Linked DNA regions of Neodiprion lecontei. The protein of the gene in region 2 interacts with the protein of the main gene of each other region in a pairwise test. Links are inferred from orthologs where the notes say so. Each region holds a gene or a part of one and is shown on either strand. Other genes may lie near its edges. The genes, in order: vesicle-associated membrane protein-associated protein A and phosphatidylinositol-3-phosphatase SAC1.

Region 1 (13,650 bases), on a different chromosome or scaffold from region 2:
AACAATCGTTAATAACATCCCATTGAACTTCGTAACCTATTCTGACCTGTTCATTTTTTAATCGAACAGTTAGTAAAACGTTATTTTTGCAACCAGATGTCGCAGCATCACATTTTCATTAATGAATCCGATTGCGATTCGAAAGGAGAATTTAAGCGCAAGGAAACTTCATGTAACTATGTTTTGTCCCGAAGAATTTTATTTACACAATGAGTAATCAACATGGAATCAAACAATCATCATGCGAAACGAACAACCGGCACAACGTGGATGAATAAAACAAGATCTGTTATAACCACCAATTGCAACTCAAAGGAAAGAAAAGTAAACGTGGCTGCAGCTGAGACAAGAAAAAGAGTATCGCGATTCACCGATAAACACATTTATTATTATTATTATTATTATTTCCTTAGGTTATCATTATTATTAATATTATTGTTTATTTTTTTATCATTATTATATGTATGTATATGATAACAGCTTGAAATTGGGTAAAAATTAGTTATTACATTACATTGGGTGTCTGGATTAATTACAATAAAAATTGAGGGAGCTGGAGTAAATTCAAATATATCATACATATTTTGTACAACTAATCAAAGTTTAAATTCGATAATAATAATAATCCCAAGCGCGATATGTTCTACCAGAAGAATGAGTTTAATTCGTCTGATGGAACGTAGGTGTAAGATTGAGATAAAAGTGAAATGAATGTATATTCATTTACATTCAACACATTATGCCACTTATTATTTACTCTATGCAACAACTTTCACCTTCAAGTGTATTAAAACATGTATTATGTATATTGTTGAAATAGCGTGTTTACAATTTTGAGGACCTTACAAACACGAACTTTCTGCGCAATATGGTACACGAAGTGAGAATTGGCAACAAATGTTATCTAAAAACATTATTCCACTGTTATATCATTACTGGAAGGTTTCGTAAGAATTTAACAAATTTTTCAGGTCATTTAATGATTGTAATGTAAAGCAAAAGACCAAACTCAACGCAATCCCCGGAACTTCGACGATTGTTTTTTCGTAACAATTATTAAAGAACGCCAAGAACATAAGAAAATATATTCTTACTTTTACCTGTAAAAGAAGAACGAAATTAAATGAAAATCAAGAAAACCTAATACTGCGAAAATATCGCGATACGAAAACTTTTCTCTTAAATGAAGTGCATTTCATATTTCACCAGATTCCAATAATTAACACTTACGGATTGGATAAAAAAAATTCCTTTGCGCACGTTCATTTAACTTTGTAACGAACGATAAACTGATGATTGAAAAATAAATTTTAAATTAAAAAATCGGTCGAATTATAGTGTAAAATAATCATACGACAGTCAAGTTTTTAACAGCAAAATTATGTAGAGGAAGAGTAGCGTTCGACACATAAACTGGATCGATTGTGAATGCAATTAAAGTTGTAGAAAAACTCGAACGTAATTCGTAAGATTATCGGTAAGTAAATTTTTATTAAAAAATGACCTATTGTAACAATATCGCAACGGGAATATAAAAAAAACGTGGGTGGTGATTTGCTAGCCATCCTAATTCTATGACTGAACTTTCTGAATTATCATCCAGTAATTGAAACCTAAATGTTTGAATCATTTTTAATCCGTAAAATTCAACGAATAAATGAAAAAACTGCACAATCGGATTTCAAATTGACTTCCGAGATCTATAGCAAAATATACCTGATCAAATATTATACGTGAAACTTGTCCATTGATAATTTCATCGGATGAAATTCTTACGTGGAATTGATGTCAACCCTAAGGTGATTTTAAGCTTCGTTTATTCATCGAAATTATTATTTTTTTTTTTTTTGTTTCACTATCATTAAAAAAAAAAAAAAAAAAGAAAACAAAGTGCTTAAATAGGCACAATAGTTTTCGTACGTTTATATCGGATTCATTCACAGAATATGGACCAGAAATATAACGAGTTACAATCTTACAATAAGAATCAGGACACAAAGTATGTTTGGTATTTTAAAAACGCTATACGCTCTATTCCTGATCACGCTATATTATAATATATTATATCGATAATAATTCGTTCAAATGAAAGTGTAAACCAAATCTCCTGCGCATTCTTAACGTGGACTTATGCTTGTAATAGGATGACCGCCGGTTCTTCTCTCAAACATTAGCTGGAATTCCTCATGACATTATAAGCGTGAGGTAACTTATCGTTAAAACTTATTTCTCGAGTATAGTGAGAGAAGTTCACTCGTTCGCAGTATCAACGTTGACGTTTACCTTATTTAGTAGTAAATTAAATCACAATTACATTACATCGATCTTGTCCTAGCTACAGCTAGAGAATAAATCACCGCCTAGTCAGCCGAACCTAGCACCCATTTATTATACCACTTAATGAAACCCCTCCCTAGTACTCTATTTCTCTGCCTTTTGCTCTCTCTATCTCTCTATCTCTCTCTCTCTCTCATATTTAACTCTTATTATAACTCCCAATCGTAATCCTACTGTTCACTTTTAAATATACACACGCGTAGATCAAAGCTGCGAGTCTCACAGGGCGGAATAAGCCCTCGTTTTGTATTCCGTTCCACAAGACTTTCGCCTGATAAGTTTTAGCGTGAACATAGAAATTCAGCTATCGATTGTTCTACAATCTGAATTTTTCAACAAGTTGCATATGAAAGTTCCATTCAATACATCAAAGTTGTAAAAAGTTTTTTGCTTTGCGATACAATGTTAGTGTAGAATGAAATGAGGAGACACTTACGTGATTACGTTTATAAGATAAAACTGAAAATATTAAAAAACGAAAAAAATAAAACCAAAGAAACGACAACTCATTTCACTAATCGAATTTCAACATCTCGCGCCTATCTTTAAAGCACCGATGTGCCGTCTTGTTCGATAAACTAATGTAAGTGGCATCGGACCCGTCAAACATTTTCAGCTTTCCCCATGGTTTTCTTTTATTTTTTTTCACTCTTCTTCTTGCTAACAGTCATTTGCAATTAACCATGTCTCTGCACACCATGCACCACTCTCGGATATAAAACAATTTTCTATTTGGATTTCAAGGATTTAAGCAATATACTCACATCGTTTCGACAGCTGGGAATTACCTTTATTTTGATTTAATTGTATTTTGCGTGTTCTTTTTTTCTCTCCCTTCTCCTTTATTTTTTTTTTTTTTTTTTTTTTTAATCTTTAGTTTCATTTATATTAGACAAACATAAATAAATAAAAATTACACTTGAAGCGTTGATAAATTGAATGCGTCAACAACTTACGCACAGCAAGCCGTTGCCAGAGTTACACACCGACGTTTATTATGCCCAAGTTCGCCACGTTGCGCATCACTACTTATTCAGCCGTCACCCCCACCCTGATATTATCAATATATGAATTTTCACTTTTAATGCATTATGTACAACAAAGTTCGTTTCGACGTAATATATCAGGTGCGTAATATGCACGTGTGTGTGTGTGTGTGTGTATGTATACAATTATGCGGTCTGATTTAAACATAATATCATTCGTACTATTTATTATAACATTTATCAATAATTCCATAATTTACATACTTATTAGTGGCGACATGGTTTCAAAGACATGGAAGGAACAAAAAAAAAAACACAGAAAACGAAGAAAGAAGGAATAGACTTGTCGTAATTGAGAATCAATACTTGTAACATCTGCTATCGTCATATTATTTCAATTTATTAAATTTCATTGACAGAAAAAATCTGTACTGTATGTACTTATACGCATAGTCGAGGGTCGCAGTGTTGCGCGTTCGAAACATCAGACAAGTCATATGGAAAATTAAAGTTTAAAAGAGATTTAAGAAAAAAAGCTTAAAAAAAAAAAAAAACCGTCGGATATTTTATTTGCATTATAAAAAAAAGTAAGCACAATGCCCTACAGGATGACTCGATTAATGTAAACCACGATAGAATTTGGTTTCAAATTTTTTTTTTTTTCTTTCTTTTCGTTTTTCACTGAACAATTAATTAACAGGACAACTTGAGACGTTTACGCTTCGTGCTAATGGCAATGAACCACGCAGCGGTTCAGCCATGAAAATTTTTGGGTATGGGGGAGGGGCGAGGGGGGAGGAGGGGGGCTGGAGTTATCGGCAAGGCAGATGTGCTCAGATTAACTTCCCCAGCAAGTATCCGACTACCACCATGGCAATGGCGATGAGTACACTGGTAGGAATTTTAGTTGGATTTAACTTGTCGCCACTGTTCGCTGTCAGTCCCGCAAGCGCTGCCATGTTTCCACTTGTAATAGTCGCTGTGCCCGATGCAGCATGCCGCAATCTTATAAGCTCTTCCTATTATGAAAATTCACAGTCAATTATACTTATTAGTATAACGATCGAATGATTGAATGCAAGTCATCGGCTGAAGTCTTGACAAATACTTTTCTCAATGTTACCACGTATAATTGACGATTTCTGATGATATACAAATTATGAACAAATCATAGAAGCTTCGTCTTGTCGTAACAAACAAGATAGGTGTAAGTAATGATTAGAAAAAGGCTAAATCAGGGCTTTGCAGAGAATAAGTAAAATTACTAGAATGGGTAAACGAGCACATAGAATCTATTGACACTGGCGAAGTAGAACTGAAATATAATGACTAGAATTATGTTGCTGAAGAATTGAGCAATGCATAAATTTGAACATGGTCAGAAAATAGATCGTACTTCTAATTTAAACTTGACAGTGTTCTCTTTGTATCTAATTTAAAATGATCACTCTGCCAAATGATAGACGATTTAGTCATTTCTTTGGCAAAATTCCTTCAACCTTAGTGCCTTTAAATAATAAAAGCAGTGGGAAAAAAACCTGAGAAAGCAAGCCGCAAAAACAACACGAAAAGTGTTGACCGTAAGCGCAAAGGGAATGATGAATCTGAAAATACCATGAAATAATAGAGGGTAAACCAAACCACGTACAGTGACAGAATGAGCCTGAAGAAATAAAATAGGAATATACTAAGATGGATATATTATGTGTACGTATAATCGTTTGTTAGCAAATTATCACCACAAAGACACTTAATATGTACAGGAAAACGAGTTAGAACATGCATGTTGTGCGTTTGAATTAAAGAGTGCGTTTGAAAATATTGGTAGTATAGAATGGAAACAACAACCAAAAATTAAGAAAAAAAAAAATCGAAGTTTAACGTATCTACATCGGATAACATCGGAAACGGATAATGTAGTTATATGTAATTATTAAAACGTTCGTGGAAGCATGTAATAGCAATATTGTTTTCACAAAATATAGAAATCGGTATAAAATTGTCATAAATATGGTCGTGAAATGGCGAATTGATTTACCTTCAGCTGAAGGTTTTCCTGCCTAAGGTTGCTCTCTTCCTCCCTGAGTTGCTTTACTTCGAGTGCCGCTTTCATTAGTTCTTCCTCCATCTTTCCATGTGGCTAGATTAATAGATAATGAAATTGAATTTTAGAACCAATATGTTAATTAAAACGGAGGATATTATCGTCTCAGAACGCACCTTGGGAGATGATTTGACAGAATCGCCGATCCCCTTGTTTTTATCATCATCCGCAGCATCGCTGCTCTCAGCTGTGGTATTGCTTACTGGATTTTCGAAGACACACTTCAGTTTGAAGTCCATTAACTGATCTGGATTTATGTCCTTCCACTGAAATTGATGTTAATTACATGCTTCGTGTATTATCTTATCTTCGAAATTTGCTTAGCATTTTTTCGGATACACTGATCCATTCGCGATAAGTTTTATACATCCGTACATATTTGTATAATACTAGCTAGCAGTGTCGATGTAGTTTCTTCAATAGCTATCGTTTTTTATTGCAAATATATTTAATGCAATATCAGACTTCTTTCCATCGCATAAGAATTATTTGGTAGTCATGAAGATATCTTTTATTTTGTCAACTGATGCATTCAAATCTGTACGTACGCTGACAAGTGAAATAATATTTTGGAAGCTTAAAATGTGTTCAGAAGCACATATGGCATGTATTTCAGGCTTGCAAAACATACCAACGACTCGTTGACAAAATCTTCGTCGTCATCCTCAGGAGCTATCATAGTTTGAACCATAAACTTGTGTTTATTTTTCTCGCCAGGAACAAAGTCAAATGGTTGTAAGCATACTGTGAAAGAAATTTTATATTAAGAAATATCTTCTGTTATTTAAAAGTAAACAAAATATTATATACACGTGTGAAATAATAATCAACTTCTAACAAACTAATATTGCATATGCCAATGTGTCAGTAATTTAAGCAACATCCAAGAGTCATATTTCATGTATTATCTAAGGCTACAATCACAATTGTAATTAGACTTGCCTATTGTTTGGAAAAGAGAGAATATTATACAATAATTTGAATATGCAATAAAGGCTCAAGAGCTATTACGAATATATTGGAAATGTTGACTCTAACTAAAACCTGCTTAAAATGAAAGATAGTAGTGCACTGCGTTTTATATCTATAAAATTTAATTGGCTGTATAACTGTTTGCCAATTCTGTGCGCAAAAAACTTGACTGTCCAGAACAGATGAGAAGATAAAGAAAAAAACGACAATTTATGAAGCAGGTTCAGAACAACTTTTTGACTATGGTTCTGTAATGATTATTACAGCACTAACTTCTGGTTACAATGAAAATTGCTTTGGTAAATTTTGAAAATAAAAATGACAATCTAAAAATTTTTACAGTATATTCTTAACGAATAAAAAAAATGACTAGGTGAATGCTAGCGATTGTCTAAGAATATGAAATCCATCTGCTGTTGAATAATGGAAAGTACCTGCTATTTGAGTGACACCCTTAGGCTTTAGGGCGCCAGAATTGGGCCGGACGCAGTACTTCTTAGGGGCAGTCGTCTTTATTTTAAAATACACTTTGTGGTCCGACGGATTGGTCAGTTTCATATACGTTGTGACCGGAGATGTAAAAGGTCCTGCGAAAAAAAAAGAAGACAAAACGTATTTTCATGTACGTTAAACTCATGCGCTGGTACGACTTTTGTGTTGTGTTTTCTGTTTCTCATATATTCTTTATTCTGTATCCAGCAATTCCTACATTTGCATGACAATTGCTTCCACACATAATTTATCAGATTATACTATCACCTTGCAACGACGGTACTATTGAAGTTATGTGAAATGTTACGTTAGCAATGCCTAAGAGTATTGGTAAATTGTCCAAACAACAAACATCTATTTCCATTTACTCTGATACCGTAGTGCTAATTACACGTTGGAATGAAAATGAATGAATTTGCAAAATTTGAATTTAGTGAATCACATTTCAATGAAAACCACTTGAGTATTTGATCAAGGATCTATTTCTCAAGATTACTTGATTAGTTAGAAGAGGGTGATGTCATTAAATGTCTGAAACAAAAATCTCTTGTCTAAGCAACTCAGTTTGCTTGAGCGCAAGGTAATCACTCTTGACAATTGTGATATAATATGAATGCAACCTGATTATTTGGACATTAACAAAAGATTATTACCAAAGGCTGAAATCAAGATATAGTAAGAAAATCTTTCCTCTCGTCAACGCATTAACGTACAAAGTATTGTCAAAATTGAAACAATTATACCTTTTTCATTTGCTTATACTATTTACAATACATTTCAAACAAAAAAATCCAACATTCGTTGTCCGATCCAAAGTACAGAAGTAACAAATCGACGATTCTATATCAGATGAACATTGTACGAATTTTGAAAGAAATCCAAACTGATTATATGTCGAGTGAAATGAACATCCTACGAGCAATAATAATTAGATGGAAAGAAGTAATCGAAGATCTGGAGACATATTCCCTGGCCAAGTAAGCGGAGTGTGAATACCTAAAAATACATATAAGCACCGGCTAAGGAGTCGGAATAGAAGACAATCTGTAAGATAATAAATATACATTGGAAACGAATGGCGGTAATGAAAAGTATATTTTGATAAAAGGGCCACTCCCACGACGGATGAAAATAGCATGATAATTAAGCGCAGCAGGTGCTGGCAGGAAGAGAGTTGTCGATGAGCGTTGATATATTGAGAAAAGGCAAAGTCCGAGTGTCGAGTCTTGGGGTGAATAGGAGACATGTGGAAAAGCGGGCAAAGATGGGGTAAAGGGAAATGATGATTGGTGGATCGCGGAAGGGGGTGGGGGAGGAACGAATGCAAGGGGGGGAGCGGCTGTGTAAACTCGGAGAAGATAAAACTTTGACAGCAACGTCGACGTAAATGAGACGGGTTAGGAAACAGGAGTTGAGGTCTGCGGGTAAAGTGCGAACAGGACGAAACGTGGACGATAAAAAATGCGAGTATCCGATCGTCTAAAGGCACGGATATCCGGCACACAGTCACACGCTGCTTGTATGATATCCGTGTCCGTGTCGCTAACACCGCTACAAAGTACGAAGCATGTATATATGCGAAATGCATTGTGTGTATTGAAAGTAAATGAGAGAACCCGCGTACCCCTGAACCGCAGCTCGCCCTGTGGCTCGATAATTAAAATCTGCTCGGGCTTAGCCATGTTTTTAACGCCTCGCCTCGCGGTATTATCCTCTCGTCCCGACCGTAATGTGACAGATTTATTAAACACTTGATGAGAAAATTTTCTCCTTGCAACCCCGCGCTCACTTCCACTAGCTGGGATTCCGTTGAACTAATTCTGATTTGCAGTTTTCACAAAATACGCATGCGTCATTTACGGAAATTATGTATAGCTGAGGTCTCTTCTTGCGTTACGTCATTCCCCAACGACCTCTACCACGCTAATCATATTCACTACTACGCTAAGTTTAACGGCTTATTTCCATGCCCACTTGCCGACGACATTGATAAACCAATTGTAGCTTCGGTCCAGCAGAATGCACCGATGAAATTCTCAACGCACTCGTTTGAAGTACCCTGAAATTTTACATGGAAATTACGCATGAAGCGCGATACGCATGAACGCACATGCGCCCGTGACACATGTCATCTACGAATACGTCATGTTTACGCAGTTAAACGAACACATCGACGACATTCCTTCCATGTATCTTCGTTGTGAGCCGCGTTTGCGTCTCTTTATCAGTAGCTACGTTCGATTATAATGTTTTTATGTGTTATCGGGCAATCTTTTGACCAACCACAATCGTCGTATGACAACAGAGCGCCCTAATAATCGTCTGCTAGCTTGCCCAAACGCCACAATCGAATGAGTCTATTGTCGTTCATGCTTATGCCGGTTCTTCAATCGCAGGCCTTCGATGCATTCAGTTATTTATTTAGTAGACGCTTTCGCGGAGCTACAATTTTGTTATTTCAGTTTCTCTTGTTCTACTCCCTAAACTGATTGCCATGGGTGTTATTCCGCCAGGGAACTGTGGCAGTTCAGTAATAGTATATTTGAATTTTCTAACTAGCGGCTGGTGATATTTACTGGTTATTTACTGCCAAAGTGTTCCACCGTGCTGGATAGTAAACGAGTGTTATTGTCGTTAGAATAGTCTCTCGAACAAATCCTAAATAAATATAATTTATTGTGATCTTTTATAATTGAAATATAATCATTATCTTTATTTACAATTTTAAATTACTGTGTTAAACCTATTTTTATTTTTATTTTAATCATCACCCGAAATTGAAGATCAAATCCGTCACTGTTACTGTGCCCAGCACGATGGAACACTTTGGCATTAAATGACCAGTAAATAGTACCAACCGCTAGTTAGAAAATTATAAATATACTATTACTGGACTGCCACAGTTCCCTGGCGGAATACACCCATAAACATATAACAATAGACCGCGCGAGCTCGGAGGTAGCCCGTTGGTGAATGCGATAGCGGGATAGAAAGAGAAAGCTGCATATGGGCCCATCCTTCTATCCTTGTCTAATCGCGCGCATGCGCGCTCAGCATTCTCTAGCGCCAGCCTTCTCTTTCTACCGCGCTATCGCCTTCTCACAGAGAGAAACCTCACACATGTGGCAGGCGTGCGACGCGCTAAGTTGTTGAGAACTACTAATCAAATTTGTGTATTAATCATTTTTTAATAACGAAGTTCGGTAATACAGCGATGGATCCTAATTTAAATGCCGAGATTTACAGAAACATGACTTCTGCCGATATACCGCCGAATGTTGATCGGCATCTGCAGTTCATTCTGGTTTCTGATGGTAATATTCTTGAGGTTACCCGGCATTAATGCCACCTAAAATTTATATCGCTAGAACATTTATAGCAACAAACTGTCAGTATGAGTTGTTACGTATTATTCTCTGCCTCTGAGATACTGTGAAGTTGAAATTAAGTCAATTGACCATCCATCAAAGTACTGAAACCTTGTTTTCATTTTTGCCTCACAGATTTGTTTAAGTAACACTATTGCATTCCAATTGCAATCAAATCCATGATTTACAGGTATTGGCGCAATATTAGGTGCGAGTAATATGACAGACCGTTATTGGAATGGCACTGTTTGGTATTACAAGGATCATACCGACTTCAATAGAGACAAAGCAACAACCGCTATGAAAACTGAAAGTGGAGTATGTGACGGTGCATGCTTAAGTGGAACTAATAAATTTGTAATCTGTGAAGACAGCGGAGTTCTTCAGATTCTTAGTATAAATGAGATGGCTGACACACACAACTATGAGTTACAATGTTTAGGATATTCATTTGAGCATGACGATGCCATCACATCCGTATCAGCCTTCGATACAAACACTCGTCTAGTTACAGGAGGGATGGATTATTGGTATTAGCAAAAAAATTGCTCAGAGCGATCAATATAAGTTACCTTTAATAAATTCCAAAAACTCAGATCTGTTCATCTTATGCTGTGGATGAAGATTCTAGATTTTGAATCTCATTTTACTTGGTCCAAACTGCTCACAATGTGATTCAATTCTGTGGGCTTCCATTTGTTAAAAGTTACTTGTAACTGATATTCGTTAATCTTACAGCAGGTGCTTCTTTGTATGTTACAAGAGCAGTTGTATAGTTTATGGTTTTTGCAACATTAGTTAATTACTGCGCGCATGCTTGAACATTAACAGTATTACTTATTGCAATAAATCATACTCAACCAATGATGCTAATATTTGGTTGATTCATATCAAAATATGAATTTGTATAATGTAAATGAAATTTCGTTAATTTTTCCAGCATAAAAGTTTGGGATACGGTTGAGTTGTATTCCAGTCATACTTTCAGTCCGGCTCACACAGATACAGTGACTTGCGTACAAGCGCAACCCAAATCCATAGATATCTTTGCATCTACTTCTCTTGATCACGATGCATTACTGTGGGATCTCCGACAACCAAAGCCAGCCAGCTGTATGTATGCAGTTTATGAATCCCTCTTTGTTAATGAATCTAGATTTTTGATCATGGTCATCGACCTTTGTCATCGACTTTTGCTCTGCAAAGTTTTTTGAAAAATAACTAACCTGAAACACTTTACACAAATATTCAACTTTAGCATTGATTTCAATTTTGTAATTATCAGACATAAGCCACAAAGTGTCTTAACTGATGCGAAGTGCTTAATTTCAGATACTTGATAATATTTCACATTCGTTTTCCTCTGTAACATTAGTGACTGTATCATAATACTATTCCAAGGTATAATCAAAAATGTCGAATGTGGACTGACTGCAGCAGCATGGAATCCGAAAAATGTACATGAACTTGTGATTGGAGATGCAGATGGTAGAATTTTAGTGCTTGATGTCAGGCAATCAAATAGTGAACCTGTTTTCCAAAACCCTCGAGCTTTTTCTAGAGGAGTTTACAGGCTTTTATTCAATTCAGCCAGGTTTGTGTGAACCAATTTCGCTTGATTCATTCCCAGTGGCTATGTACATGAGTATAATGTTTCTACAACACTGAAATTATTTTTATACTTGCCCTAATTATTCAATTTGCATAGAAATGACCAATTTGCTGGATGCTGCGATAGTACAGAGGTGAAGGTGTTCGATACAAGCCACAACATGGAAGTGATATACGAAAATAAGAACCATCGTGACTTTGTTCGTGGATTGGCATGGGACCAAAATTGTCTACTAACAGCTTCCTGGGATAACACTGTTCTGGAACATGCGATATCTTCTTGATGTTGATTTGCACATTAAATTACTCGATACAGAATCGACAACTATGCAAGTCATTCGTTATGTCGAGATGTTGCCTCGTTAATTGTCATCTGAATCAGTGCCCTAACAATTTGAAGTTACTGTTTATTTCATACATTTTTAATAAATGCTTACAACATTGTATATACTATTGTATCATTGGTTTCGTTTTAACAATTTTAATACATGGTTGTAATTTCATACATACAACATACCAGTATTCATGAACACAAATAATAACTTCCCAACATGCCATTCTTATGCAATCTCGAGTAAGCTTACATCATTCTGAACTGTGTTAATATTTTTAATCGTAAGGTAATTGAAACGATCATCCCTTTCCCGATTTGTCTCAAAAACGCGATTGAACATGCACTGTCCTTGTGTCAATTTCTGACACATGACACTAAGTTGTTTCATTGGCCTATTCCGTTAGATCCAACCACTACAGTCACTAAAAAGTGTGATCACTGAAATATAGAAATATATTTCATAGCGTTTTCTACTGGTTGCACTGGCTCGAACAGGGGGCATTCGTTCCGTGCATGCGTCGCCCGGCATCGGGGCAAACCTTCTGAGTGGAACACGCCGTAAAACGTATAAAGGCAGACTAGGGGGCTTATTACGGTTCTCGAATCGAGTGAAAATGACGAAAGTGACTGGCTCGCTCTATTACGGTGAATCTCACGAGGTGAAAAGACGTTATCCACATGAATAAACTCGACACGAAATTCGGTGTCGAGAATCGTTCTGCGCATGCTCGTGAGCGTAATTTGCTTGGATTTGCCTGAAAGTTCCATCGGTTTCATAAAAGAACGAAGATCACTCCATATTTGTTGGTTAAAGAGTAAAAGTTATTGATACGTGGGAACTTGTACAATGAATAATTTAGTGATCGTGATTATGCAAAATCGGGAAAATCGAATGCTCAGAATACGACGAACACTACGCGATGCCTCAGACCCATTCAATATAACTTATATATATTTATATTATTTATTACATATTTTATATATTACACTTCTGTCACGTTCATTTTCTTCAACAATTCTTTCTGACATTCACAACAACTTTTCTAGGTTATCTGACAAAATGGAGTCAACTTTCGTGAAAATGTGAGATCCCTATACCGGAAGTGCCTAGTTACTTCACATTTTCACTCGAGAGATCCGTAATAGAGTGACTAAACTCACGTGAGATGAAAATGTGAGAAGTGAGTAAACTCGCTCGAGAACCGTAATAAGCCTCCAAATCATAATTTCTCCTAAATCAGAAATAATGTGACGTTACTTGACTGACTGCGCGACTGTCAGTTTTTTCAAGCAAGTGATAAAGGAGCCAATTGAACAAACGCAACGGTAATTTTTTGTTTGTAAATATATGTCACAAATGTTAGGCACGAGCATACAGGGGCAAAAAAAATTGACAATTCCACTGAAAAGATAAAAATTAATAAGTAGCAAGTCGAGCTGTCCCAA
Region 2 (12,545 bases):
TTAAATAACAAAAGACTATGGGTCCAGTTACAAGTTTGCAGATTTCCTGCAGATCTTTTCTGCCGATTTCCGGAGTCAATAATATGCGCCCTGTTCTCTACTTTTTTTTATAGTCTGCGTTTTGAGACTTGTTCTGTGTACCTCAGGGGGTAAAATGCTGGCACCGACTCCTTGCTTTTCATTCAATTGTAATTCCAAAACTAATCAATGCAACAACGATTAATTACACCATAATGGAAAACTTAATTAAACGGAGCTACGTGTCGCGCGAATCCTGCGAGGCCTCGTCAAAGTCGACTCTGAGTAATTAGTATTGTGTACGCGTGAGTTTGTGTTTGTTTCAAGTACACAACACACCTACAGTCAGTATATACCCGATATGGAACTTAATTGTTACAAAATCAACCTTCCGTAAAAGTTCAATTACGGAATAACGCGACGAGTGTCTAGTCCGCCGCTTCGTTTGCGATAAAATTAATCATTCACTTACCGGGGACTTTGTCAGGTTAATGAAGAAACAACAAACAGGATATCCACGAATAACTTTCCTTCACACGTTTCGTTTTGGTGGAAAAAATTCTAATCTCAGGTCACAGTTTCTGAGAAGAAAAGAAAAATGTTGTGTGTTTACAGAGTAATTTCAACTTAAATCACAGACGCTTAGCGCAAAAGTCATATTTCAATGTAAGTCATTCTCACTTCATTAAAATCCTCTAAAAAAAAACATTCTTCCAGAAAAAGACAAACTCGCACATCTTTTATAGGTGAATAACGATCTCCGCTGAATTTTTTTTCACCCGACCATATATAAAGTCTAAAGTGTACGACCCCGTTTCGAACGTTGTTTTCGCATATTTCTTGCAACTTTTTCGTACAGCATATACTCAAAGCCGGAGCACACAGCCAAGAATTATTGCTCTTTTCAGGCAATATACGGATGGTTTATTCCCTCCACAATATGCGGTCTGGGACTGCTTCTGGCCGGGTTTCTGACGCAAACTTTACCGGAGACGAAAGATCTCGCCCTCTACGACACCCTGGATGATCTCTCGAGCAGGTGTCGAGATCATCCCGAAGAAAAGGTGTCCATAAAAAATTGTACGCTCTGCAGATACCTCGGTAAAACTCGTACCAACGTGTAAGATTTGTAGAATTTCGACTGACAACATAATTTATGCTAATATGCTTAATGTGTATATTGTGATCAGCGTGTAATTGAAATACATCAGATTATGAATGATATTCTTTTCACTACGAGTATATTTTTTTGCAAGTTTCTTAGTTTGAATCGTGACATTTTTTTAAATTTTTCTTTTTCAGCCGCTCGCTCAATCCTTAGAGTTTTAATTAATCCTGTTTTTTTAAGTGTAGTATTAAGTTACCCCGAGGTATTACTATTCTTGTTTAGTGGAGAATTTGATATCCGCAAAATATAAAGAGGAAATAAAAAAGTATTTCCACTTGGAACGCAGGAGCTTTTTCGCGGGGAATTTCACGCCTTTGCTCTCTCGAGACTGAAATTTATTTTTTTTTCGGATTCGGACAGAAACATATTTTAATTAGGCTTGTGATCAGCTATTTGAACTTTCGCGTATCCATATGACTGTTGACTTATAATCAGCGGAAATTCAACATTCATAATGCCGATGCTGTATTGTCTATTATTAACTCACCAAAATCCGATCAAGTTCGCGAATCCCGTTTATCCTCTATAAATACGTTATACCTAGTACGTTGAACAGTTAATACAACATTAATTGTGCATGAAACATGGAAAAGCTAGCGCGGGGAAAACATCGGAAAATTCGACGCTAAAGGGAATCTTTGATGTTGAAATAACTTCATTCAGCAGAATTTCCTATATTACGTTACACGCGTATGTGATTCTAACGCTGATTCTATGGTTGTGTAAGATTTAAGATATATATTGGTGATATTATCGACGATGACGATGATAAAAATACTAATAATAAATTTACAAGGTACTCGTGGTAAACTTTGTTAATACGTACAGCTACAGCCGGTTGGACGGTTGGATAAATAACCGATGTTCTATCTCATGCTGAAACGCGTTAATGAAACTATTACACGGCCGCCAATGAGTACAAAATCCGACAGCAAATACTCAACTTTGATTAAGCTGTCGTTACGCGCCCATATTGACACCGTATTGTTCTACCTAAATCTAAATTCTACCCGATAGATGAGTTAGCAAATTGTTGCGGTCGCGTACGTCAGTCTCATATATCGCCTGACATTATTTGAAGAAGAAATAGAAGTGCGATAATTGAATACCATGTTTTAATTTTATGTCATCTGAAGGATAATTCAGTCATCGTTAATGTTAACGGATTAAATCAGGGCAATGATAGATTCTGTTATGTTGTTCTATCAGTTTTATAGTCGGAAGTAATTAACGTCCGCTTAATTCATCAGCGAAATGAATGGATAGATAAAATTATCCGTTATTAACTTGAATGTATTTTTACATATTTCATATATATATAGTTACATTACTTACAAGACACGATCCGTCGAAAATCAATATAATTACTGTCGAATAAAAATTTGCCGATAGTGTAAGTTTAAAATTTGCTGTTGTTCCTACTTTCTCATTTACGCTTGCCTAATTCCGATCTCATAATTCCTTTTTCCTACGTGTCGTAAGTCGACATTATCCCGCCTACTTATCGATAATTAGCAAACAATAGCTACAATAGCAGTAGTTCCAAGGAAAATACGATTGCTCCATGCAGCATCGCTCTCTACTGATATTTGGGCAATCAATCATGATACCCAGACGTTTGTACTTACGACGCGAATACCCTGCAAGATCATAGGTATTTTACTGCTTTGGTAGCCAGTGATAGTCGATAATTTCATATTTCCTTGTCCACCATTACATAAGAATTTTTCTTTTAAATCTTGAGCACGCCGAGAAAATTCTGAGACGCCAATACGAAATTAGATTACATGGTTAGATAATATAGCATAATTTTTTACCGGAAGAAAATATTTTCATAAATTTAAATATCCAGTGATATACATATACATTATATATACGTAATTTTTTTTTTTTTTCATAATTGACTAAAATTACATCAACTCTACAGCGGTCTAGCTGGATTAAAATTTTAAGTATGTTCTACTTAAAATGTTGTATAAACTTCGTAGAATTGTAAATTAACAACGAGATTTAAAGCTAATAGGTGAATTTTCTGCTAAGCTGATCATAGACACGTTATTTTTCGACGAGAAATGCAGTAGTGGTCAATTATTCGACCCTGTTAGATTTAAGAATAGAAACATGGAAGGAGTGATGAAACTGAGAAAATTTTGAGAGGAAATATAACTTTCAACTGACATTGAGGTAAAGTCAGTACTCTCAGAATTTCTTGAAGTCGAAATGCACGTCTCACCATCGAATTGAAATACCTATATTTATGGCTATCGGTGGATTTTCATTAGATTTGCATTACAATGGCTAATAGCTATATCTTTGTGAGATAAATTGTCTATTTTTAGTAACGGTTGTATAATTTTGTAAAAACCCTGTAGGCGTAAATAAATGTTACATGTAGTTATCTGACACCAGCGCCAGAACTGATAGAAAAAAAAAATACGCTTATCACAATTCTATGGTTTCCCGTCACCTTTCGGTATATCGTGTTGACTATAAAAGTTTCGGCTTGTCAACATACTGCTTTCCATGGTGTATAACTGTCGCAAACGTTCCACCAACCATGGCACCCCAGAACAGCATGTAAAGTAATACTTCTGTAGTGTATCTGGACGGGAGAATCGCGTGAGCGACGAGCATCGACGACGCGACCAATAAAACTAAGGGGAACGTAGCGTATCGCCAATTACGTTCGGCGTCCAACGGACATTTCACCGTAAGGCATTCACCGTCTTGCACAATATAACGTCCCAGGAAAAGCTCTATGGAATCCTGTGAACGAAGAACGCAAGATGCAATAAATTCCACGACAGTTTAATCAAGTACTACGTATTCTTGGTCATTTCTAATGTCTGATCGATAAAAAGTTTACTTGTCTGTATCCATCGGTGAAATTGTTTTTGTAATATCTGGTCAAGGAATTAACACCGTCTCGTATGGCTCCAAGTTTAGTCCGTTTTCCAGTACGTGTAAAATCAGTTTTCAAAGCACCAGTACCTGAATATTCTATGCTTATTACGTCCGCGTTATCTGCCCAAACCTAAAAATATGTAAAAAAGATAAATTCTAATCTCAGTTATGAGGCTGGTTATGGGAAGAGCGAATTGTTTATCTCCAAATGAATAACAATATTACCTGTTTAAACAAGTATTCTAGCGACGGATGGTCTTCAACTCGCTGCAGTATTCCCAATCTTCTCAATGCGTCACTAAGCGCTCTTCTAGCCAGCATACTTTGTACAACATTTGTTCTATCCAAACAATCGATGCAGTTTGTTCTGAATATTCCATCCTGTGCAGAGAGTAACGCTCCATCTCTGGAAAGTGTAAAGGAGCCCATTTGCTCTTGATCGTGGGCCAATCTGTCCATTAGAATGTTCAATCTGTCCCATCGCATTTTTCGGCATTCCGCGTGAAAGTCGAACGATTCGTAACGGACATTTTGATTGCCAATTCTATTGACAATATCACAGTAGGCTTTTTCAAGTACATCTTCCGCTCCTCTGTGATCAATCTAAAACTCATGTAAGAGAAGTTGGTATAAATTCAACAATTGGAGATTTTTTTTGTTTGACTCACCAAATTTACTAGTATCTGTTTCCCATAATGAAATATTTGTGTTTCGAAATGGCGTGCGCAAGCAGTGTGGTGATCTTCCTGATTATTTAACACCGGCTTGGGCTTATATTTTAGGTTTGGAGCCTGTTGCCAAAAGAGCGGAATTGATCCTCTGGTCTGAACAAACGAACTACGGTCTCCGTTCACTTCTACCAACTGTTCCGTCTCTACGTAATTAGATACGTTTCCATTGGCGTCTATCCCACGAGAAAACAATCTTGTTCCTGCGCGATGTACTCCTCGACGGGATATTATTCCCCAGTTAAATGCAATACCATTTACAATTACTGTACTTAGTGACAAAACTATAAACACACTGCTAAGGAAAATAATTATTGAGAGTAATATACTGCTAAGAATAATTGCCACACTATTTTATACCGATGTTGCATGAACAATGAATAGTTCAAGTTGGCACGAACCAATTAAATACGATTGACGTGATAGCATTCGGTATTGTTAGAAAAAAAATTATACTGAATTGAACATTTCACGGTAATGATGCTTTCCTGAAAAAAAAAAAAAGGAATACTTGTCAAAAAGGATACAGCCATGTATAATGGGCAGACAGAATCTGTGCTGCTCAGGCCTAGAAGTTAGTTCTTGTAGTAGATACGCATTCCAAACAAATCTTAGATCTGCTCGCTCGTGTATCGGCATCTAGAATTAAGCAGCCAAACAATTCTCAATTCTTTGCTCATAAGCATTTTGAAAGTTTTTTGTCAGTATATTGAGATTTTGTACAATAGGACAAACCTGTAAAAATTCAGGCGTAGTATTATGCAGCCTTTGCATAGTGTGACTCAAGTCGTAGGTATAGCTGAAGTAAAAATGTGGTGTGTTCAATACAGACTTGATCATTTCCAGATAAGTGGTATTGTTGCTTATTTGCTTTTCGTTCAAATGAAGCAATGATCGCATGTATGGTATAATTTCCGTAGACCCAAGTTTGTAAACCTGGTGTCCCGCTATAGTACCCACACGTTCCGCATCTGTGATAACTATCAGGTAGCGACAGGCCAATAGGCGTATTGTGCCCACAATTCCCCATATTCTACGACGACTGGCAGTAGGAGGAATCTGACTTGCTGTACCTGCTTAGAATTTGAATCAAAAAATAACAAAATACATTAATTTGATTTTTTATTCAACGTGATCTAGGATGCAATATCACCATTGCCTTACCTTGGGTATAAATTTGCTGGGTAACTCGATCGACTACCAATAGTTCCTTGGTTCCAACTGGTTCGACATAAAATTTTTCTGGCGTTGCGTATCTGGAAGAAAAATAAAACGAAAACCACATATGAATTAAAAATCAAATGAATGATGTATGGTATCGGCTAATACAAGTAAGTAATTATAAATTAAACAGAATGATATGGCATAACCTAGTGCCGCTAATGAGAGTCGCGTTAGGCAAAAGGAGAGGTAAATTATTGATCCCATACGTTGTAGACTCAGGACTTATCGATTTTGTACTTTCACTTTACTATAATTTACTTCGTAATTTTAAAACGCTGAAAGACAGATTTAAACTCACAGGTAAAGATCATCGTAAATATCGGTGTTCAACGCCATGTTGGTTTACTAATGTCCGTTTCAGCAGTGAGCAGAGGGCAGAGGCTACGCAACTACGAGACCCGACTGCGGGAGGGAGAGATATGGTATCACGAAACCGGTAAAAGTGGTGAAAAGCATGAAGATGACAGCAGAACCTCTAACTCTACATAAACGCTACGCTCATCCGTGATCGCCATAACGTAAGAAGATGAGACGTGTTCCTGCGTTCCTACGGAGCCATCTCTAAGAACCAATCGCGTGTCACGATCATATGAAGGCCCTCGTGGATTTCCAACCAATTGTTTTCGAGGTCATCTGGCGCACAATTTAAAAAGCAAAAATCTCCACATAGTCACAGCCTTATTTACCTCCGACGTTAACTGAAGACCATAAAGACAAGTTACCCCTGGGTACATTTTCGTGTATCAGTTTTCGGCAGGCAAGCGGGCCCAGGTGGGCCTGGGAGCGTAGGAGGTTTCTGCTCTATCGCCTCTACCTAACGAGCTTGCACTGACATTCGTAGCAGCCAAAGTAGTGTCGGTATGAAAGCTTGAGATTGAGTCGGTACAGAGTACGTAAGACTACTTTTTTTTGAATTAATCAAATACGATAATTTTTAAGCGAAACGGTGATTGTTGGTTATTTTTTTTTTTTTTGCTAGAGAGATAACTAAAGAAGCTTTTTAAAATTTTGAGCGTATTTTAACTCACATTTGGACGATACAAAAAAAATTTACTTACTATCAATTGTCGCAAAATGGCATATTGGCTGGCCATTGAAGCGCCTCGCCGCTGGAATCTCGAATTGGCAGGAAAGATGAACTGTGTAATTTTTGTCTGAAATGTAAAAACTAAAATTACTTTGAACTGAAATATATTTTTATCATCGATGAACTAAAAAACTCATAAGAAAACGTTAAATCACATTCAGTTTCGTTCAGTTTTTTTTCCGTTTCCAAATGTTATCTGAAGCATGCATATTGGTTTGATAGTACAAAACATGACGTTTTCAATAATCAAACTTGTAAACTTGAAAATTTGTCCGGAAGGTCAAAAGTCATCAGGTCAAGGACCTGGACAGCCAGAACTACGGAGCGCTTGTCCTGGAAGTCGAGTTTCACCAGGTAGCGGACCTGGTGCGCAGAAACTACGCGGCGCTTGGTCAAAACTTACCAGGTCAAGAACCTGGATAGCCAGAACTAAGGAGCGCTTGTCCCTGAAGTCGAGTTTCACCAGGTAGCCGACCTGGAGCATAGAAACTACGGAGCGGTTGTCCTGGAACTCGAATTGCACCAGAAAGCGGACCCGGAGCGCAGGATCCAGGAGATAAGAGAACTCGGTACTCGAAATCTGCGGAGCGCGATTGTGATCCGTCCGCTCTACTGCGCGATTGTTTCCAGACTGAGGAATTCGGCTAGCTGATTACTATAGATCAATGACGTCAAGGGAAAAAAAATTTTGGGTGACGTCACTTTCTGAACATCCGAACTTTGGTTTCGAACTTTATTACTATGTATGATGTATGAAGTATGATGTATGAAGTATGATGTATGATGTATGATGATATGATATGATGTATAATGATATTGTTACAAAGGGTGAAATCACCCGTTTTGCCCCCTCTTTAATGATCTAGTAGTCAGCATAGATAAAAGACGTTTATAAACCTCTTATGTCTTTCAAAAGAATAAGGTTGCTACGTCAACCAACATTATTGTATAAACAGTCTTGTTTCAGACTTTAAACGAGAAACACATATCTTGCATTAAAGCATTTTCACAACATTTTATTCACGCTCTTGATTTCTTTTGACTTGATAATTAAACTCGCGGATCCATATTTATTTTCCGTAACGTCAAAGTACGTTACAATATGATATGATGTATAATGATTTCAGTTTTTACATTTCAGACAAGAAATACGTACTTTATCTTTCCTGCCGTTTCGAGACTCAAGCGGCTAGGCCCTTCGTGGTCAGCCGTTGACTAAAGATATATTCTTCAGTCTACGGGTCAGCTAATAACGCTGTCGTTCTGCGACAGTTGGATGAAAACAATTTTTGCTCGTACCTTTCGAATGTGTGTCAAAATATACTCGAAGATTTAAGAAGCTTCGTTCTATCTTTTCCCTATCAAGAAACAAAATTGCCAACAATCACCTTTTTAGGTCTTTCAATCAGGACACTGCGTTAAATACTGTCTCTTGTACGGAGCATATATTTCATCTCGATCAAAATTAGCGCATCCGTGATGTTTACAGTTACTCTGAATTTTTTTCCATACGAACACTTTTCGAAAAACAATTCTGCTTTTCTACCCAACGCAGATACTTCACTTGCGACTACCTAAAACAGAGTTTCGATTCTATGCCTACGAAAATTAAAGATCGAGAGAGCAATTGAACAGTTGTTGGAATAATTAGGAATATTAATGTTATGGAATACATCGAGCGCGTGTCGAATCGAATCCCATTTCGAAATGAATAATTCTTGTATTTTCATATTATAGCCGTATTATTGTAGATAATCTAGTTTGTCACCTGGAAAATTATAAAATTTATAGTATGCATCACGTATTAATCGTAAATGGATCATATATATTGATATCTTAGCTAGATAAAAGTACAATTTCGAAATTTTCAGGTGAGTTGAAAAATTAACGACAGAGCCAGCAATCGAATTTGGTATCTAGAGATGCTTTACCGGAGACTTACTCCACTAGACCACCTAGCCGCCCTGACTACATGTCATTAATTTCTCTCATCACCTGTATTTCGAAGATTGTTGTTTTCGTGTGCCATTGAATATGTTTACATTTGAGAATTCGTCGCGAAGAGACACAATTTTGCACATGTGTACACATACCAACAAGCTTTACACACATGTCAAAATTGTGTCTCTTCGTGACGAATTCTCAAATGTAAATATATTAATATCGTACATGGATCGCATATACATATATACTTTTTGGTCTATGCATCATTATTACATCTGATCTATTATTATTTATGATCTATGTATACATTCTTATCTCGGGTACCTATACTTTAATCAAATCACTGTTTTGCTACGAATTTAGGAAGACATTTATTCTCATTATTAATTTCTTGTATCGATGATTTTCGGTTGTCACACCAAAGCTGATTAGGGCAACTGTCTTTATATTCTTCAGTCAACGGATCGGTACATATGAAACGGGATGAAAATGCCAGCGAAGAAACACACCCTAACTTTGTACAAATCCTGCGCCCAGTCGTACCGCTACCACTTAGTACGGTAGGTAGCTGGTAAATATCGATGTATACTAAGCCTGGGTGAATTTTTCCAATCTTCAATTGACAAGGATTGATATTTGACATTTTGATCTTTCACGTAGCACATGAGCAGTAAAGTCATCAAGACACAGAATCTCGAACCATTTGGGATATCAGATGAGAATTCTACTGAGAAACGACGATACTAGCGTCATCTAGTTGTAGTTTCACTAAATACAACGTCCACGTTTTGAGTATCGAGTTAATCGCCTACTGCTGGTGGGTGGAAAGATACTTGGTAGCTGGCTTTGACGTGGATTGAGCTTAACATATTCAACGCTATCTCGTCATTGGTTACGTGGGTTACGTGTTAAGCTAATAAAGATCGAACAGTGGACTTCAGCCTCTCAGTTTATCAGTAGTTGAAGCGAAGCTTGTTCGTTCTCATTCGTTCTGTGATCTACTCCTTGCATTTACTTGAAAGTTGAGAAAAATTCATATCTACTCTTGATACATTTTTTTACTCGCAAGTGTTTCCATTCGCGTCCTGCATTTAAAATGGTAAGACTAATTGCTATTTTTCAATCGATTTTTTTTTTTTTTTTTTTTCAAATCAAGTAGCCTGGGTTATTGAATTTTAGTATTACATTACGATATAGCGGTCTATTAACCTACATATGACCTTCGTGTATCAACTATGTAAAACTATGTTGTGACGTGAGTCATTGTTATTGATTGCACTGTCAATGAGTATTATGGTCAATTTCAGGAATATGTTAATTAATTTCCATCAATTTTGATGAATTTGCTACGATGCAACCTATTTCCTACAGGTAAAACTCCCTCTCAAAAGTGGTCTTTGTTAGATTAATCAAAATATACTGTGCTTCGTTTGCTCCCTCTAGTATTATCAAATTTCATTGCTCTAAAAAACACTTTTATTTCCCATGAACTTTTGGCCCCAACTGTGTCTGAATATTTACGCATATACTAATTAAGTAACAACAGCTTATCATTCCAGCAGGAGATTAAACCTGTTATATAATTGATAAGACAATCTGGAGTTTAATCTTTTTAAAAAAGTGCTCTACCAACAGATATTGCACAATATTGTAAACACTTGACAAACTTAGTCGATAATTTTTTACATAGTTAATCCCGATGTAAGCTAATAAATTTTATATTCGTCAAGTATATTTGCAATGTTTCAGTAATTTACAATGTACCAAAGGATGACACTTTTGTGCCCAAATTGCATGCCACATGACTGATATGATTTGTACATAAACATATGAATGAACATTTATAAATAAAACTATGAAAATTATCCCACATCCATTCTAGTTGTTGTAGTCAGGCTTTTTCTCATCCTTTACAATTTTTACGATTATTGTCCACAATTTCAGGCTGAACCAATAAATGTTGTCGTCACCGGGGCTGCAGGTCAAATTGCGTATTCCTTGCTGTACCAATTGGCAGCTGGTTCAGTTTTTGGACCCGAGCAGCCCATTAACTTGAGACTCCTGGATATTCCACCAATGATGGAGGTACTTCAAGGCGTCGTTATGGAGCTGGATGATCTGGCACTCAACCTTCTCAGGGGTAAAAATTATGCATTATGAATCTTCAATTCCTTTTTGTATTTTTGGTACATAGTATGCCATATTAATTGTCTAGTACTGAAAAACAGATATGTGCAAGTTGTCTTCAGTTAGTCATTTGTTACTCAACAACTATGTACCATTACATGACCGACCTGAAAAATCAAAGATGACCTCTTCTTAGAAGCAGGGAATTGAACTTGAATTCCTGTTTCAATACTAAATACATATCTACTCAAAGCTTAAAATATATTGTCAAGTTATATAACTAGAAAGATATTTCCAGCCGAGTAAAATTAGGTTGTTTATAAATACAGCAATTTTGTGTCTCATGCTTGCCAATGAGCTTGTGCATATACCTACTTAGTTGAACCTCTACAAAATCTGTAGGTATTGTTCTCATTTTAAAATTATTATTGTCCATCAGTTGAAAGACTAAAATAGTCCTTTACAATGTACGGTTGTCATCAAATGTCTGAACATAACTTTATTATGAAATTTCCATTTTCTGTAGTGTAAAATTTACATTCAAGCATCTAAAAATACATCGATTCTCATCAATAAAATTCATCTGAATACTACCGTCTCTATTTTTCATCCTCAAGTTCTTCAAGTTCAGGTGAGCATGGCAAGCAGCCAAAATATCTAGGTGGCCTCTAAATATTGGCTGTTGCATAATATATCCAATAATCGGACAATATTTAGTTACCAACTCTTGAGTTGCCGTAAACAGTGACAAACTGATTATTTACTTATTTTTGAATATCATTCACTTTGCAGAAGTAACGCCCACGGCTGACCCAGCAGTAGCATTTAAGGATGCAGCAGCAGCTTTCCTTGTTGGCGCAATGCCAAGGAAACAGGGCATGGAGCGCAAGGATCTGTTATCAGCTAATGTGAAAATCTTCAAAGTACAAGGAGAGGCACTGGATAAATTTGCACGAAAAGACGTCAAAGTATTGGTTGTTGGCAATCCGGCAAATACCAATGCTTTAATTTGCTCGCACTATGCGCCTTCAATTCCAAAGGAAAACTTCACAGCTATGACCCGGTTGGACCAAAACAGGGCCCAGGCTGCCCTAGCTGCTCGCTTGTCTGTACAGGTGAATAAATCATAGTTGATTTATTTATCAATGATTTCCTTGTGCTTCTGAGATGTAGTTGGCACTGTATTTTGTCACTAATTCCTAATTCAAACGATATTAGTAGAAAATATAAATGTAGATCCAACAGTTTCCTCATTTTTTCGCTATTAAGCTGTCTCTTGGTCTTTTCTAATATCTTCTACCCTTCTATTCATTTCAAATAGGTTGATCGCGTCCAGAACGTAATT

The links.
Region 1: the proteins of phosphatidylinositol-3-phosphatase SAC1 (region 2) and vesicle-associated membrane protein-associated protein A interact in a two-hybrid assay, tested with the Drosophila melanogaster proteins (2 studies listed by BioGRID). The link is inferred for Neodiprion lecontei from reciprocal best matches to the Drosophila melanogaster genes Sac1 and Vap33.

Annotation. Positions count from the first base shown.
Region 1 is NC_060266.1:6,921,191-6,934,840, reverse strand, and holds vesicle-associated membrane protein-associated protein A, read right to left. Parts: upstream 8,788-13,650; 5' UTR 8,574-8,787; coding exon 8,516-8,573; intron 6,987-8,515; coding exon 6,834-6,986; intron 6,172-6,833; coding exon 6,059-6,171; intron 5,694-6,058; coding exon 5,544-5,693; intron 5,464-5,543; coding exon 5,362-5,463; intron 4,343-5,361; coding exon 4,157-4,342; 3' UTR 3,183-4,156; downstream 1-3,182. Other genes in the region: methylosome protein 50, read left to right, coding at 10,106-10,205, 10,450-10,789, 11,200-11,372, 11,661-11,853, 11,968-12,154.
Region 2 is NC_060262.1:36,980,793-36,993,337, forward strand, and holds phosphatidylinositol-3-phosphatase SAC1, read right to left. Parts: upstream 6,523-12,545; 5' UTR 6,379-6,522; coding exon 6,341-6,378; intron 6,075-6,340; coding exon 5,983-6,074; intron 5,895-5,982; coding exon 5,554-5,894; intron 5,458-5,553; coding exon 5,346-5,457; intron 5,103-5,345; coding exon 4,759-5,102; intron 4,694-4,758; coding exon 4,316-4,693; intron 4,221-4,315; coding exon 4,053-4,220; intron 3,953-4,052; coding exon 3,674-3,952; 3' UTR 2,459-3,673; downstream 1-2,458. Other genes in the region: organic cation transporter protein-like, read left to right, coding at 927-1,142; malate dehydrogenase, cytoplasmic, read left to right, coding at 10,170-10,172, 11,018-11,213, 11,993-12,315, 12,522-12,545. UniProt on the Drosophila melanogaster protein: Phosphoinositide phosphatase which catalyzes the hydrolysis of phosphatidylinositol 3-phosphate (PtdIns(3)P) and phosphatidylinositol 4-phosphate (PtdIns(4)P). Has low activity towards phosphatidylinositol-3,5-bisphosphate (PtdIns(3,5)P2).